2 linked regions of the Arabidopsis thaliana genome follow. The protein of the gene in region 1 interacts with the protein of each later gene in a pairwise test. Each region holds a gene or a part of one and is shown on either strand. Other genes may lie near its edges.

The links.
Region 2: the proteins of ABCI14 (region 1) and AT4G24310 interact in a protein complementation assay, tested with the Arabidopsis thaliana proteins (one large-scale study listed by BioGRID).

Annotation. Positions count from the first base shown.
Region 1 is NC_003070.9:6,841,668-6,850,532, reverse strand, and holds ABCI14 (trigalactosyldiacylglycerol 1), read right to left. Parts: upstream 4,196-8,865; 5' UTR 4,063-4,195; exon of another isoform or gene 3,991-4,062; 5' UTR 3,905-3,990; exon of another isoform or gene 3,803-3,904; 5' UTR 3,722-3,802; coding exon 3,675-3,721; intron 3,585-3,674; coding exon 2,579-3,584; 3' UTR 2,411-2,578; downstream 1-2,410. UniProt on the Arabidopsis thaliana protein: Required during embryogenesis. Permease involved in lipid transfer from the endoplasmic reticulum (ER) to plastids, and necessary for thylakoids formation.
Region 2 is NC_003075.7:12,594,482-12,602,461, reverse strand, and holds AT4G24310 (transmembrane protein, putative (DUF679)), read right to left. Parts: upstream 1,660-7,980; 5' UTR 1,563-1,659; coding exon 921-1,562; 3' UTR 736-920; downstream 1-735. Other genes in the region: AT4G24320 (Ubiquitin carboxyl-terminal hydrolase family protein), read left to right, coding at 1-164; AT4G24300 (Peptidase C50, separase), read left to right, coding at 2,249-2,355, 2,436-2,616, 2,704-2,811, 3,441-3,482; AT4G24290 (MAC/Perforin domain-containing protein), read right to left, coding at 4,647-5,339, 5,487-5,653, 5,964-6,150, 6,238-6,306, 6,471-6,672, 6,922-7,160, 7,343-7,606. UniProt on the Arabidopsis thaliana protein: Involved in membrane remodeling.

The sequences.
Region 1 (8,865 bases):
GCTGTGACTAAACTTTATTATTGGGCTTTATTGTAGCCCAATATGAATTACGCGGCAAAAGATGGATTGTGAACTTGTCAAGATATAACTACGAAAATTTAACCTAAATAATTTGACAAATACCAAAGTCGACGATGGTGAAAAGAGGTCGGAGCGGCGGCGTTTCAAATCGGAGATTTCAAAACCTAGTTCTCCAGTCATCTGAGAAGGGATCAACGGCAGAGGAAATAGTCAATGAGCTCCGTTCAAAGGACCGTGAATGGGCTCGATTGAGTCGTCATGTTCTGCTACTTAACGTCAACCAAACCCTTCAATCCAGAAATGTAAGCGACAAAGACGAAGAAGAAAGCAATGCAAGATCAAAATCACGGAAGAGAGCCGCCACAGCTTCACCTTCAGGATCGTCGTGGTCTGATGCCGTGGGGACGGAAATGTATTAGATGATAGTGGTAAGTCAACTCCACAGTTTGATTTGATAAATGAAAACCTTAGGGCTTCGTATGATACAAGGAAACATATTAGGGTTTCAGATGTGGAATTAGAGATAGGGAATAAGAATAAAAAAGGTAAGAAATTTAAGGATCTTGGTGGGTTAAAGGAGATATTGCATGACCTAACGAATTGAGTAAAGAATCCTCTGCTTTTTCCTGAAATGCATGAACGTCTTCAAGAGAAGCCAATTTCTGGGATTTTACTTCATGGTCCACCTGGTTGTGGCAAGTCTACATTGGCTCGTGCATGCCATTGCTAATGAAACTGGTGTTCCTTTTCATATGATCTCTGCTTCTGAGGTTGTTTCTGGTGTTTCGGGTGAATCTGAAGAGAATATAAGAAAACTCTTCTCTAAAGCGTATAGAACTGCTCCTTCGATTATCTTTATCGATGAGATTGAGGCGATTGCGTCAAAGAGGGATAATCATCAGCAAAAGGGTATGGAGACTCGTATTGTTACACAGTTGATGAATTGTATGGACCAAGAGTATATGCTTCAAAAGATGAGAGAGTCTGGTTCTGAAACTAGCGGCCATGTTATCGTTATTTCAGCTACCAATAGACCTGAAGCTCTTGATCCAGCTTTGTGAAGGTCACTACGATTCGACAAGGATTTTTGTCTCGGAATGCCAGATGAGAAGGCAAGAGAAGAGATTCTTACTTTGATACTACGGAACCGTCCTCTTGACCCAAGTTTTGATATTGCAAGGATTGTTCGTAAGACTTCAGGATTTGTTGGAGCGGATCTAGCACTTTTGGTTAAGGAAGCTGCAAATGTGGCAATGGAGAGATTAGTGAAATCAAGAGGATCAGAACTTGGAACTGATATTGATTCTTTGTTGAGTATGCAGCCATGTCCATTTCCACCACAAGTGATAGAGAAACTTTTCTACACTATCTCGGATTTTGAGGAAGCATTGAAAAAGTTTAAACCTTCGTTAACAAGAGAAGGATTCTCTACTACTCCTAGTGTAACATGGGAAGATATTGGCGGTCTTGATCATATAAGAAAGGAGTTTTATAGCGATATAATCAAACCGTTGAAATATCCAGAAGAGTGCGAGGGATTCAAGTTCTGTTCAGGGAGGGATTTTTTGCTATATGGACCACCTGGTTGTGGTAAAACATTAGTTGCCAAAGCCGTGGCTAACAAAGCAGAAACCAACTTTATCCGTGTCGAGGGACCGGAGCTTTGAGCAAATACGTTGGAGATAGCGAGAAAGCGATTAGGGAGCTATTTAACCTTGCAAGGATGTGTTCACCGTGCATAATCTTCTTCGACGAGGTTGATGCATTGACAACAAAACGTGGGTCAGGAGAAGGTGCTTGGGTTGTTGAAAGACCATTGACTCAGTTGCTCAATGAAATGAGCGGTGGAAAAGAACGAGATGGAGTGTTTGTGATTGGTGCAACGAATAGACCGGAGATGATGGATCCTGCGATTACAAGACCAGGGAGGTTTGGGAAACATATCTATATACCTCTTCCAAACTCTGTTCAACGAGGTTTGATTCTGAAATCTCTTGCGAGGAAGATTCCTTTAGACACAAGTGTTGATTTGGATGCTATAGCTAGGCGTTGTGAGAATTTTAGTGGAGCTGATCTTGAAGCTTTGGTTATAGAAGCTGGTTTGGCGGCTCGAGACGATGAGACAGGCTCGTACCCTCGTAGGACAAAGATGGTTCATTTTGAGGAAGCGTCGAGTCGTATGCAAAGCGGCAGGTGAAGAGAAAAGTCAAGAGATTGGCCAAGTTTTTCCAGTTTTCAACATTTTTTCAAAACTTCATGCTTATTTTTTTTGGATTATTGGTCAAGTAAGCTAGTTTGGTTTTACCATGTTATATCTGCTTGGTCAAATAAGATGTTATGTCATAAGTTCATAGCATAACATTTTAACTCCGCCCATACTGATTGCAAATTTTCCGATGAACTATATAGTTCAAGATTATTCAATGTGTATCATTATTGGAATAGAAATATAGCAATCTTTCTGTTCTTTCTAAAATGATGTTACTTTCTCAATTTAAGACAACTGATTTACATAAACCCATCTAAACCACAACAAAAGAAGACAGAAAATAATATGTCAAACACAGTTCTTCAAAGAATCTCCAGCACCTTGAAAGAAGAAGGAAGAAAGCACAAAGTCCGCGATGAAGATTCCGACAAGAGACATGACGACAGCAGAAGTTGTAGATTCTCCAACACCTTTAGCACCTCCAGTAGTGGTTACTCCCCAAGAACAACTAATTACCGATATTATAGCTCCAAAGACTTGAGATTTAATCATGGCACTCACAATGTCCCATGGTCTAAGTGCTCGGTGAGCCGAGTCCATGATTATGTTAATGCTGATCCCGTAAACTGCATCAGAGAGCAGAGCGCTTGAAGCCATACCAACAGTGAAACACATGAGTGTCAGAAACGGTAGAGCCAAACACGAGGCGATGACTCTTGGAGTGATTAGATAATCAATTGGGTCAGCTCCTAAAACACGGAGTGTATCAGTTTGCTCTGAGACTTGCATTGTCCCTAGTTCAGCTGCAAATGCACTTCCCATTCGTCCAGCAACAACAATCGATGTGATGACTGGACTTAGCTCTCTAGAGAAGGCTAAAGCCAAGACACCTCCAATGGATCTGTTTAGACCTAGTCTAGTGAATTCTCTAACGAACTGGATTGTGAAAGCCATACCAACAAATGTAGAAGTCAGAAGACAAACTCCTAGAGATTTCGGTCCGGTTCTCTCCAGCTGTTGAAGAGTGTTTCTCCAGTGAATCTTACCCTTTAAAATCCGGAGAACGACTTGTCCTGCTATAATAGGAACTGATAAACCTCTCCATATGTACTTAGAAGGTGACCATTTGCTGAACGGAAGCTCGGCTTCTTGACTGGGTGCGTTGTTTTCAGTAGAGGTTTCTTCTTCCAACATAGACATGGATGGGTGACCATCATTAGCATTCAAATTCACATATAATCTTCTTTGCCGTATCGGACTTGAAATCCCATAAGATTGAGTCTTTCCAATGAAACCAACTTGACAAAGCTTTGGGGGCTTAATACCAATCGAAGCATCAAACCGTGGAAAGACTCTGCAAAATTAATATTCAAGAATCCAAAATAACATATTCTGACAATGAAGCAAATGAGAAAGCTTATAAACTTATGGCAACACAAAATACCTATGAGGGAAACAAAACGATTGATGGATACAACAAGTCTGCATCATTGTGGTTGCCTTCTTCTTTACGACCTCACTGATTTAGTGCCTCTCAATTTGTAGCAATAAGCACGATTTCAACAGCTGAATCTGTAATAAACCCAGAATCAAATTGATTTACAATCAAATAGAATTAGGACACAACAGATTTTGCATAAGAGATCCAAATCGAGACAAAAAGTTTCCGGTGACCTGATCAATTAATCAATCTCTGACTCTGAGGCAGCCAAATTCGAATCCCAGTATAAGATATGTACGGACCAATCTAGGTGAAATCTCTACTATATAGAAGGGGAACAAATAATTAGGTCTATCAATCTTCTTACTGAAACAAAAACTTGAAAACTTACATTTAGAAACGAAACTAAGCTCGGAAGATCGAAGAAGCTTGCTTGAGAGGGTTCATCGAGAGAGAAAGTGGCACAGTGCCAACAACAACAACACACACAACTAACAGTTGCGAAGAAGATGTGTGGGTTTAACTCCCAACAAAACAAACAAAAAAAAAACCAATGGCAAAACATAAATTGGTCCGTGGGCCGTAAAGCCCAATATACTTTTACAAGTAAAGCGTGGGCTCTATGCCATTCACGGCAGGTCCACTTGTACTTTACACATAGACTGATACAGAAAAGTATAAATAAGAAAATAACAATGAGTGTTTTTCTCTATTGATCCAAAATGACAAAATATATGATCTAAACATTTTATGTTATTCTGTATATGTAAAGTGTTAATTATTTAATTGGTTGTATAAATCTACAAAGCTATTATATGAAATGTTTATACCAAGACAATCAATCAAATAAAGGCCTACATTTCATGTCCAGATTTGTACTAATATCCCCTTCATTGCTTACTAATATATAGTAAATTTAACTAAATGCTAACTTAACTATAATATAACCAATATCGAAAGGAGAAAGATGTGAAAAGAGGAATGGTGGTGGTCACGTGACAGTGATACTTGGTAACCTTTACGGAGACAACAACGTTATCTTTTTCTTCAGCCGGTCCGTTCTTTAAAAGCACACTCTCTGTATAATATATGCCTCTCTACGTTTTATATACTCACGTTTACCCTACTCTACACTACAAACCAAAAGCACTACTTCTCTCCTACACAAAACGTGATTCTACCAAATTGAATGCAAGAGTTTAGTAGAGGGTCTCGATTCTTAAAAAAAACAAACTGTCCTAGATGATATTTTGGAAATATAAGTTTAAGGAAACGCTGAAATTGGTTGCTTTAATTCGACTACTATATCTTTCGCATCTTAGAATTATATTAGAAGATATTCAATATTTGTATCTTTTACATTTTATATTTTTATGAGTATTCTATTTTAATTAGAGGTATTAATTTGTTAAGGTTTTAGAGTTTTATGTTACAAATTTACAATATTCAAGTGTTACGTTTTTAGCAAAACTTGTCTTCATTTCCGGTAGATTGATTAAAAAAGCACAACGAATCCCCAAAAAAATGGTAATTCAGGTATTTTAAATTAATCGAGTTCCTTGAACCGCTATGAACACTCAATTCAGTACCTTCCAAAGGAAATGTGTCTCAAGATCTCATGTTCAAGCTTCGCTGGTAGACAATGTACTATTTAGTTCATATCCTCCGACTCGAGAAAACTTTGACCCTTGGTTATTGTAAAAAGTGTTCTATACGTATACTTATATTCGTAATTTCGTAGATAGAGAGAAAGCATAATGTGATGCATGTGCATGGGATGGGCAGATGGGGCCCGCGGGCTTTACAAGGCCCATAAAGCTAAAAGAAGAGGAGAGGACCACGTGGCAGGGAGCTAGCTAGTACTACAAGTGGAGTGGATACTAAGAAGTAAGAAAGTAGGAATGAGTTGAATCTCGTGATCGCACTGTTTCTACTATTGGCAATGCAGTGTTGCTTTCGTCTAGGGTTTCAGAGCTATAGCCCCCTCTTCCTTAATTATTTCTTTTTTTCACTTTACTTTTCTCACCAATCCATGTCCAACTACACTTAAAATTGCATTACCGCAACATCTTATATGTGTCTATATTCGAAATATCTTCTGTGTATAGAATTGTATAAGCTAGCTACGGAATTACATTTTCGAACGACATATATTTGGATGTTCTAGTTTTTGTCATTTTTTTATTAGTGGTCTATCAAGCCGATGATTCTTGAAGTCTCCATTCCCGGTACATTATTGAATGTGAAGTTTAACCTCTCTTAAGATTGATCTCTCGCATAGGATCGAATCCCAAACATTAGCATGCATGCTTTCAAGTTTAACTAACGGTGTTTGAATAAAACAAAAACTATATCTTAACATTCCCTTAGATAACTTTCACATATTTTATGAGGGAGGATCGTTCTCAATCATACGCTAATGGTTAACAGTTTTGGTTACATGAGTGTTCACTAATGAGAGTTGTATTATATGTGTTGGTAATGTTATTTTTGTCTCTGTTGGTGATTGTTTCTTATCCCTTTTGTAACGATTTTAACAAAATTGATCATTAATTAAGACCGAAAAGGAAGGTGTTTAACATATTTTCTCATATTATATATTTTATTATTTGATAACACAACTATTAAAGGGTAGTTGAGATATTGCGTGTATTTACATAGTGTATACGAATAAAGTTTCTATATCTTAACTTTACCACGAAGCTTTGAGTCACTTCATTCCTTTATATATTCAACAAGACAAAAAGCCATTCTAGGCGGAAAGAGCGTAATTATCACTTTTCTTTAAGCTAACAAACTGATGGTTAGGAATGAGGAACCTTAGCGTCAATCTTATGTTAATTTTAACAAATCTACATCCAATTATTGTCGTTTAACATCATACGGGAGCCAATATGGCTCCACCGGAACTGAAATCATTCTCAAAATTTTTTATATATATATTTTTTTAGTTCGGAAAATTTTTTGGTTGAATCAGACAACTAATTTCTAGAGTCTATATATATCGCCGGTAAAGAAAATTTCGTTGTGGTCACTTAAAAAATTGTATCCAACGAAAAGTAATTTATAGTTTAGACTAAAATGACAACAACTATTTGGACAACCATTACTTGATCCAAATTTAAACTCATATTTGTTTTTTTTACCAACAAGAAACTCTAATTTTGGCTATGTTTTTTTGCTGAATACAAACGCTCTCGTTTCAAGAATATTTTACATCCTCTTAGACAAGGCGATAGAGAATCGAGATGTGTACTTTCGTATTCATCTAAAGTTTTGGTTGAGCAATACTAAGCCAGGAGCAATATCTCAGTAAATTGTTTTTGCCATCAGTATTAGCCAATTAACAAGAAAAATCGTACTCCTAGTTGGCAATACTAGTAAATTGTTTTTGCCATCAGGAGTAGATACACTAGCTAACAAGGATAATGATTGACTTCTAGTTTTATCCTGTAAGAGAGATGAATAGGTAGAGAGAGAAAGTGAAGGGTAAGCACAAGGCTCGAGGGTGAAAGACATAATAATTGGGACTTCTCTTCGTCCATAAATTTCCCCAAACAAGTCATGCACTCTCTACTTACCTTTCTGTGTGTATTGAGTCTATTGCCAAATCATAGTAAGATCATGTTCTAATAATCATTTGTTATTTTAACCACTAAACACTACTGTACTACCTTGTATGCTAGTATCATTTGCCATAATTATTTCTGAGCACGCAATATTTTTTCTCAACTCCAATATAATAGTATTTCCTCTGTTTCATTTTAATAAACGTTTAAGGTTTTTGTTAAAAATCACAAAAATCTTATTTAGTTTTTTTTTTTTACATAAAAATATCATTAACTACAAATGATTCAACTAATAGATAATATATTATAAAATATAATTGGTAAAAAATTATTAAATATATTTAGTTTTTGCATATGAAGTTGAAAGCATCAAGCAAATAAAATCTCTAAACCATCACTTAACTACTGCGGAAATATTATATGTAAATTGTTAGTTTGGATCACCAAAGTTCGCTGTTCAAAAAAATTGCAAGTTAGTAGTATAAGTTTGGTTACCTCGTTGTTACAAATTCATATGTCTAATACCACCTATAATGTTGATCCCTATGGTTCGAAAAACATTGGGAACTTTCATCATTTGATCATGTAGTACAATCTCATTGCCTAGGATTCTAATTTATAGGACAGTCATTCCGAAATAAAAAAAATTCTTAGTGGGATATATATATAAATTAAAATTAATAAATGGGAAGTCAAAGTAAAAATAACAATGGCTGTTAAATTAACAATACAAAGCTAGGTTTTCATCGAGCGCAACAAAAATAAAGAAAATTTGTTGAGAAAAGACAAAAGGGAGATTAGGCAACTAGTTTAATCATTGAAGATCCAGTCATCAAAGTTAGGGGTTCATTGTTTCAGTTCTGCCAAAAAATATTATTATTTGTGAAAATTGTAAATACAGACAATTATTTATTATAGAGTCCACACAAAAAAAAAATCCACGGTCCGTTAATTAGTATTTTTTATTTTATTTTTAATAAACGATATAATTAAAGCGTAGTTGTTGCTAATTCGTAACTCGAAACCCATAATGAAATGTGTTGAATTTTATTAATGGTTGCAAATTTGCAATGTTTCATTATATATGTCGTGTATATTAAATGGTCGGTTGATAACGATGCATTTGTTGCATCTACGAGAAGTCAAAACCTCAGTTGAGTCGTGACTTTTGGACTGAACTAAACATACCACTTTACATCAATACTTATTTAGTTAGACAAAACTGTATAGTCATGACTCATGAATCTGGGTTACGTCAATTAGTTTTGCATCTGATTTTCTCGTTGATTGTAATATATTTATTGAGACCGATTTTTGTATACAAGCAAGGAAGATTTAACAATAGCTATCCATGATTTTTTTTTTCTTGGGGGTCAGATATACCATTTGAATGTAGTTCACTATTGACTTTTGACTTAAAATTTTGTCGATTTTGGTCTTATCAAATACCAAATGACGCTATATACTAATTAACATCAAATTGCGCCGCTAAATCACGCGGTTCCATGTGATCAAAGTCCCTGGAGTGGATTTGCTTGTTTGGTCTCACTCTCACGCCAATTAAAAGGTGTCTGTTTAACCTTTTCTCCTTTAGTTTATAGACTATGATATGGTCAGGAATTACT
Region 2 (7,980 bases), on another chromosome or scaffold:
ATCCATTGATGGGGATCAGACATCAGTACATTTATCTTATGAGCAAATCAGGGAGAGGGAAGAAACGAGACTATGTTCATGGAGTTGAGAGAAGCAACCGAAAAAAGAGAGTAATCAAAGCTTGTGAAGATGGTGAAATTTATGCACATAACAGCAGTCTTTGATCAGAGAGGATAGTAGTAGTGTCGAATTAATGAGTTGCTATGACTAGGGCGAGTAAGGACAGCTTAATCGAGTATGGAATTGGTTGCTGATATGGTATCATTGTGCAAGATTTTGTGTTTGAGTCCTTGACCGACTCTGCCAGCAATTGGAGTAAACAGAACTCAAGATCTCGCATATTACCTAGCTAGCAACGGTGTTTAGCTAGTGGCTACAGAGTCTCTGCATTTTGCAAGTAAGTAAAACGGATGCAGAGAAAGGAATTTATAAACCTCCACAGGTTTTCTTATTTCCTTTGGGAAGACGCATGTATGTCTCAAATAAACATGGCAAGAGATGAAAGTCAGAGTAAACAACATGACAAGTGTGAGTCTTACAAGAACTGTGTTGTCCACATGCTCTTTTGAAAGGTCCCAACCTGGATGGTCCTCTCAGTTCAGCCACTTCCTGATCAAACAATTAACCAAGTTTTTTTTTTTATAGCTTTCAGTTTATTGATATCGTGTGTTAACTCAATTAGACAAGGCATCTTAAGCATTTCACACCTCTAAGTGTATTATTAGTTTATGACCAAGCAGAACGTATAATAAGATTGCTTGCGTAAATAATTGTCCACTAAACAAAGAACAAAATTAAAATCATTATTAGAATTGGAAGTAGATGAGACAAACACGAAATGATCACATGCACAAGCGAATTAGTCAACCAAACATTAAATAATCAAATTGCTTATATCTATTTGGAAATAAATAACAAATCTAACGACGACCCCCGTCTCCGGTGACCGGATATCCAATACCGTGCCTTCTCGCCGGAAAAACCAAGAACAACATGCCACAGATAACCCCAACACCCATTGGAACAATGTCCAAAACCTTCTTGGTTTCTTGCTCTGGCGCCGGATAAAAACAACTCACGGCGTTCTTGTCCCTCAGAGCCACCGCACCAAACACAAGAACCGACAAAACGGCGTGGATCCAGTCAATAATTCTTATCCGGTATTTACTAAGATTGGGTAAACCCAAACCGTCAGGGTCAGGGTAGTCGAAAACCCACATGCCCTTACGAGTAGCAAAACCGTAATAAACGTTACCGTCTTCAGCCTTGACGCTGTCAGTGAAGGAGCTAAGGAAGCAGGAGATGGAGAGAAGCGTGAGGAGCACTATGGTTAAAACCTGGGTCGGGTAATCGCATGAACCATTGGATGTAAAGACGGGTATGAGGAGCGTGAAAGCTAAGAGCGTTCCGGTTGGAAGGAGATTTGCCAGGTTTGCAGCTGAGGTTAGCGTCTGTGACATGACTGCATGTTGAGATGTCTGCCTCCTTAGCTGTGGAACAGACTCCGATTGCTCTTGCGAACTAGTTGGGTTTCTCTGCGTTAGGGAAGATGGTGAAGACATATTCTTTCGTTTTTCTTATTTGTTTCGAGAATTAATGGATGATTATGATCATAATATATACCAAGAAGAACGTGCGATTAAGTGTAGAAGATGGTTGTTGACGTGATCAATGTTTTGACTTTTGAGAAGTCAATGGGTCTCTTTTGATTCCTTCTTGAGAGTTGAGACTTTCAAAGTTGATTATATATTACTCTCGTTCTTACTCGTCTCCAACTTTAAACAAAAAACTTTAAAATCGATTTGCATGTTACGTTAACTTTAAAGAGATTCGCACTCTTTGGTGGGAACTAAAAAAGTAAACCTAATTCCACTAAAAAAGGTCTCCCGTTGGATCCATCTCGCAGCAATTCATCCCCTTCATCATCAAATCCGTGTGTTTCCTGCATAAACGCCTCACCCAAGGATCCCCTAGGGATTTGTTCCGCGCGTATGATTTCTGTTTGGAATGCTGCGAATTGGTCTCCTACGATCCTCTAGCCGTCCAGCTTCAGAGAGTCGGGCTGATTCACTGTTACCAGGCCTGGGGTTGGTTCACTCACGCCTACAACGATGGTTTTAGAGTCCTTGACCACCTTAAAGGACCCGCCTACGACGATGGTTTTAGAGTTAGAGAACCCGAGTCCAAAGGTGTACCGTTTTTACCAGATCCCGAATTTGGAGGAGCTAAACTGGCAAGAGTCCAACTCATGGTTGTGGCGTCCATCGTCAGGTCTGTAGCAATGTCGCGGGATATGAACGATCTCCAATACTTGAGGGGCATTTCTCTTCTACAAGGGCTAAAACCCTGGCTAAGGTAAATAAAACCGTGAGACTTATGCTTCCCTTGCTGTACAAGTCAACAAGTTTCACTTCTTCTTCTTCTTTTTTTTCTAGGTATTTGGATGCCAATGAACACCATAAGTTTCTCAAGCTGGTCTTGTCAGATATGGGAGAGTGTGCTCTCTCGGTAATTAGAGAAGCAGAGCGTTTCGATGAGGCTTTTGTGCATTCTTTTTGCATCTCTACACTAGAGGAATATTCTGTATCCCCGTTGCCAAAATGTCATTTTTATAAGGTGACTTTCCCAAGTTTACATGTCCTTCTGTGGCTCTGTCTCTGTCTCTCTCTCTCGTACGCCTTGACTGTCTTGTTTTGTATCCAGTTCTCCCGCCAGGTACTTTCTTTACTGTTTCCGTCCAAGGAGGCAAAAACATCACTAAATCTTAAAATTATGATGTCTGTGTTGAAATTTGTGGCAGGTGAATTCCAGGTATGTGCAAAAGTCTCGTGTCCAGATTAGTCAGTCATTAGATGTTTCTAGGGCATTATTATGTTTCTTGTGGCACTCACTGCTCTGCTATGTTGAAACTCTCATAGCTTATTCTCTCTCAGGTTGAACCTAAAGCAAATTGGTCGAAGCTTCTTGACTTAGTCCAAAGTTTTTTTAGGTGAATGTCATGCGCATCGTTCTCTTTAGATAAAACATGAGCTCCAGAAAATTAAACTTGGTATTATTATTCATGGAGTATTAACACATTTTGAATGTAGATGCTATCATCTTAACAAAAAAAACTCAATTTACTTCATCTTGAATGTTATCCCAAGAGTTTTTTTTATTGCTTTTAGGTTCACTTACTGTTATACATTCATGCTTACCCAATATACCCTAACAAACTCTCGTGCTAAAACCAATATAAAAAAAAATCAGAGAAGTATGCCAGCTCATAAGCCTTCATAACCATCTGTCGCCTTTATTTTTATATCACCGTAGTGTTCTCCTAGTTCCGGAGGATCTTGGCGCATCTTAAGTGCATAGCCTTTCTTTTTGGCATCATCGTTAGACTGTGATAAGACTGGAAAAAATTGTCTCTCCTCCCTCCACTCCTCGTCTTACACCAGAACCAGCAGTCTTCAAGCAGAGTTCGATATGCAGCTGTTTGAGTGATGCCCATTTTGATTCCTCATCATTATTTGGGGAGGAGCTTTCGAGATCAGTTTTCTTTAATTCAACTTCTTAACATAAACTTCTCTTTTATCCAAAAAATACACAAACTTCTCTTTGTTGAAAAATAACACATAGTTCATTTGGTACTAGGTAACGACTCGTGCATAATATATTCAAAATTAATTGAAAATTTTGTTCTGTTAAGATTAATATATTTAATGTATGCATTATAGTCTATAGATGGATAGTTAGTGAAACAATATAAAATTTTTGAGTTTGAATATATTTTGAAGACTTGCCAAATCTTAGTATTGGAATTTAACTATAACTGTTATTATTACCAAAAAAAAGTATTTTGTTGTTTTAAATGTATGAATTCATATAATGGTTTGTTTATTTAGATAAATATTCTAATTAGATAACATAGAGATTTCATAATCTCTTTTATAATTAGTTGTAAATGCTAAAAATAATTTATTTAATCATCTTTCTATTAATTTATGTATAAATGGAATGCCAAGTAAAAAGTGATACAATTGTTAGTCATATAATTTAGTGATTATTTCAATTATAACAAAACGATGCATTTTAATATAATATATATTCAAAATATCTATATTTGGTTATAAAAATTCGAAATATTTAAATATGGTAACTTTACATATTAAAAAACTTTTGTGTGTTTGACAATTGAGTTAAGAAAATAAACAGAAATAATATTTAAATACTTGGAAATAAAAGTGTTTGGTAATAGGGATTAGAATTTTTTTTTGTTTTAAATGGTTGAGGAAAATTGTGAGCTTGGCCACATAAGGACTAGAAAAACTTTGTTCCATTATAATCTCCTCAAGGGATAAATTTATAAACAGAAAAACTTGATTAAATCTACCTGCTGATCTGATTTATATATTTACTAAGTTCTTCTTGTTGTATTTTTCTTTTGCTGTACCAAAACTTGTCAATGTCACTATTCAAACCCATAAATTTGATATCCACGATCCCAACTTCTCGTGTATATAAGTTTTACAGTGGCATATTAGACATCCACACCATTAACATTACAAACGACAAAACCTTAAGAATGTACACGTACAGACATAAACATACCACTCATCCTATTTTCTCTCATTGTCTCTGAGCCACACCACCACCATTTTCTCTTAACCTTCATAGGCTTCCTCGATCACTTCATCTCCCAATATTGGAGTAAATAGAGAATACTTCACCTTCAATGAGATTTTGCCTTTCTCCACCAATAATCTTGCACCCGATACAACCCAATACCCGGGTGATTCTTGCGGCCCTCTTGTCATCTCACTTGTATCCACAAATTTCAAAAGTTTTGGAGCTTGCGTGGGTACTGGTGGTCCACCAGGATATATAGCCGAATTTATATTCACGTCTGCAGGTCGTGGTGGTGGTTTTTGTGCTGCAGTGAAGTGATGGCTTATTAGCGTTGAGATGAGTCCTGATTTTGGAGCAAAGCCTACCGCTTCATCCCATTCAGAATTCTTTACCAGTGTTGCTCCCACAACTCTAGAGAAACAAAGGCGCAAGAAGAGCACGTTCTTGAATCCGTGGCTCTCTACATGAAGCTGCGCACCTGTTACTACAGAAAGATCATCATCTGATTCGACAGGCTCTGTGCAGACGTGAGAGTAGTTCTTCCAGTTTACTTTCTCATAGTATCGACGGTCATGAGACTCTTGCCGGATACTTCTATTTAGATCGTCTTCGAGCTGATATATCTTGGGAAGAGAGGAAAGGTGTTGCAAATGAATTGCCAAACGGTTGCTTCTTCTACCCTCTAGGTAGAGCCGCATGCCAGTGATTGGCCTCTTACCAACATCAACCTGAAACCAGACAAACGAGAACGAGCATCTCAGGACTGGAGGACTTTAAACAAAATCTAACCACACAGGGTTAATGAGATCAGACTTGACTGACCAAATAAACCTGCATCAGCAAGCTACATATTCAGGGATGAAACAAACCCATACCGGAGTGGTATTCACGTATAGCTTAGGTCCAAAGAAACTGAATTGCAGAGACGCACAACTTTGTTGCTTTCGTTGCGGACCAAGAGGAAGTTCACTAAAAACGGGTGCCCACTGCCTTGGTAGCTGAAACTCGAGAAACTGATGCAGCTCTTCAATTGGTGGCTTATCTACAAATCTCAGTTAATGTTGGATTGTTAACCCAAGGCTTTTCGTTTATAGTATGTTCATCTTACGCGGATCATATAACAGATGGCAGAAAAAATCATCTTCGACTTATAAAAATACTATAATTTTCAAGTTATGCTCCTATGTATCAACCTAACTACCCAGCTGGACTTGGAGATTACGCAAGATTTGGGATTATACTATTCTAATTTTACCTATATCAAACTTCTAATCTAAAGGTAAAAGAAACCACTAGTATGAAGAATAACTCCAGAAAGAAATGCACAAAGCGCAAATGATTTATAGGCTTACATCTTAGATACAGATTTATGGCATGGCTTAAGAATCCACTTCCTGGAACTCCATTAAGCAAAGACGTAATTGGAATAAAAGACATGGAGATAACATCAGGCTCCATCTGAACTGTTTGCAGCCATTCATTATGCATTAGATTTCTGTTATCGTTTCCACCTCGCCTCTTGCACATGAAGACATAGTCCTACAAAAAACATGTAACTCCTGAGAAAAGAAGCTAACACACAGATTACATGTCTTTATGATAAGCTATGGTACCAATAGAAATTACCTCCTTATTTGCATAAGAGCCCAAAGAACTGGTATCTGCAAATCTCAGGCGTTGCTCCTTTGTTTCCACCTGAAACCAGGAATAAAAGACAGGAATTACAGACTTAAGAGTCGAAACACTAGATTGTTAGTAGAAATTCTTCTATATGTCAAATAGCCAAAACATTTATGACATGCACAAACAAGAAAGTTTTGATGATGGGAAACAAAAATAATAATAACTATTTCACAGACCTTACTACTTGCTTGTACTCTTTCTGAACCCGTATTATGCACTACGCTAGCTTCCACGAACCTCTTATCTGCCACCTCTTTTAACCTTTTCTGCAGATCCTCAGGCTGAAGTTTTGAGGAGTGTTGTTGTTTTGCATAAATCACATCTTTTCCTCCCATCTTAACACTAACAATTATATGCGTCCCATAAATATCTATAAACCTGGTAAAGAAACATTTGACTAAGTGTTAGTCATAAACCCTCCAATTACTGAAGAAATATTACTAATGAAACAACGCCTACAACAAGTAAGACGTAATTCTTAAGTCATACAAAAACAATTTCATCCAGTGAAAAGACATTGGGCCAAGGAAACGACCATCGAACAATTTCACAGAAAAATATGCAGATGTAAGTAACTTTCCATAGACTTTACATACATACAATCCTATTATGAAGACAGAACATCACCTTGCCAATGCAGCAGGGTCCCATGTTGATGGAACAGCCTGCTTAACATGCTCACGGAGTAACACTTGAGATTTGTCCAAAGCCACCGAGTATAATGAGATGAAAACCCCATCAAAAGCAAGGTTTTTGGTGTAGGCTGCGTCTTTCTGCCAACAGCTCGAGAATTCAAACATGGCATTGAAGAGACCTGACGGGATTTTCCCAGCCAAAGATAGTTCCTGGTTGAACTGCTCTGCCATCTAGCAAACCATAAGAAAAATGTTAACAAAATGTTAATAACTAAGGCATCCAAAATGCTATGAAGGAAATTTACTCTCTAGAACAATGTACAAGGAAACTAGATAAAGGCTTCAACAGATGGCGATCTTATCCACTCAAAACCTACAACAACACAAACCAATACTTTTCAACGAAAAGTTACCTGTTGGAAAGGAAGAATATCGGACCTAAACCGCATACGCTCCCCTTTATCGCATTTGATAGACTTGGAAACATTAGGAATGGAGATTCCACCAGGTAAAACAATCTCACAATTATCATCACCTTCTTTAATGTCAAGTAATCTAGAATCTTTGGAACCTCCTTTGCAATACTTCAACCGTAAATCAATAGCTAGATCATAACCACAGCCAATAGATCCAATCGCAACTTCAGCTGCTTTAGAAGCTGGTAGCCGAAGAGCCATGCTTCAGTACAAGACTTCTCTGTTGGCCAGACCAAAATCAAAGAAAGAGAATTAGAGCCCAGAATCAACAACACACAAAAACAATCAAAAGTCACCACTTTAGATATTTCTGAGAATTGCTGACACAAAGTGTGAATCTGACCAATAAGATCTCAATCGAAATCATAGTTTCTAAATATAGACCAAAAACTGAAGCTAGATGACCTAGGAATCTTGAACAGAAGACCAAGTCCAAAATGTCACCATATAAAATCAATTCAATAAAAGCGCAAAAGTCAAATAGAAAGACTGCAAAATAACCCTTAAAGACTTTGAAAGAAGAATATGAAAGTAATAAAGGAATATTGTAAATAGACGAAGTTGGAGCTTAAAGT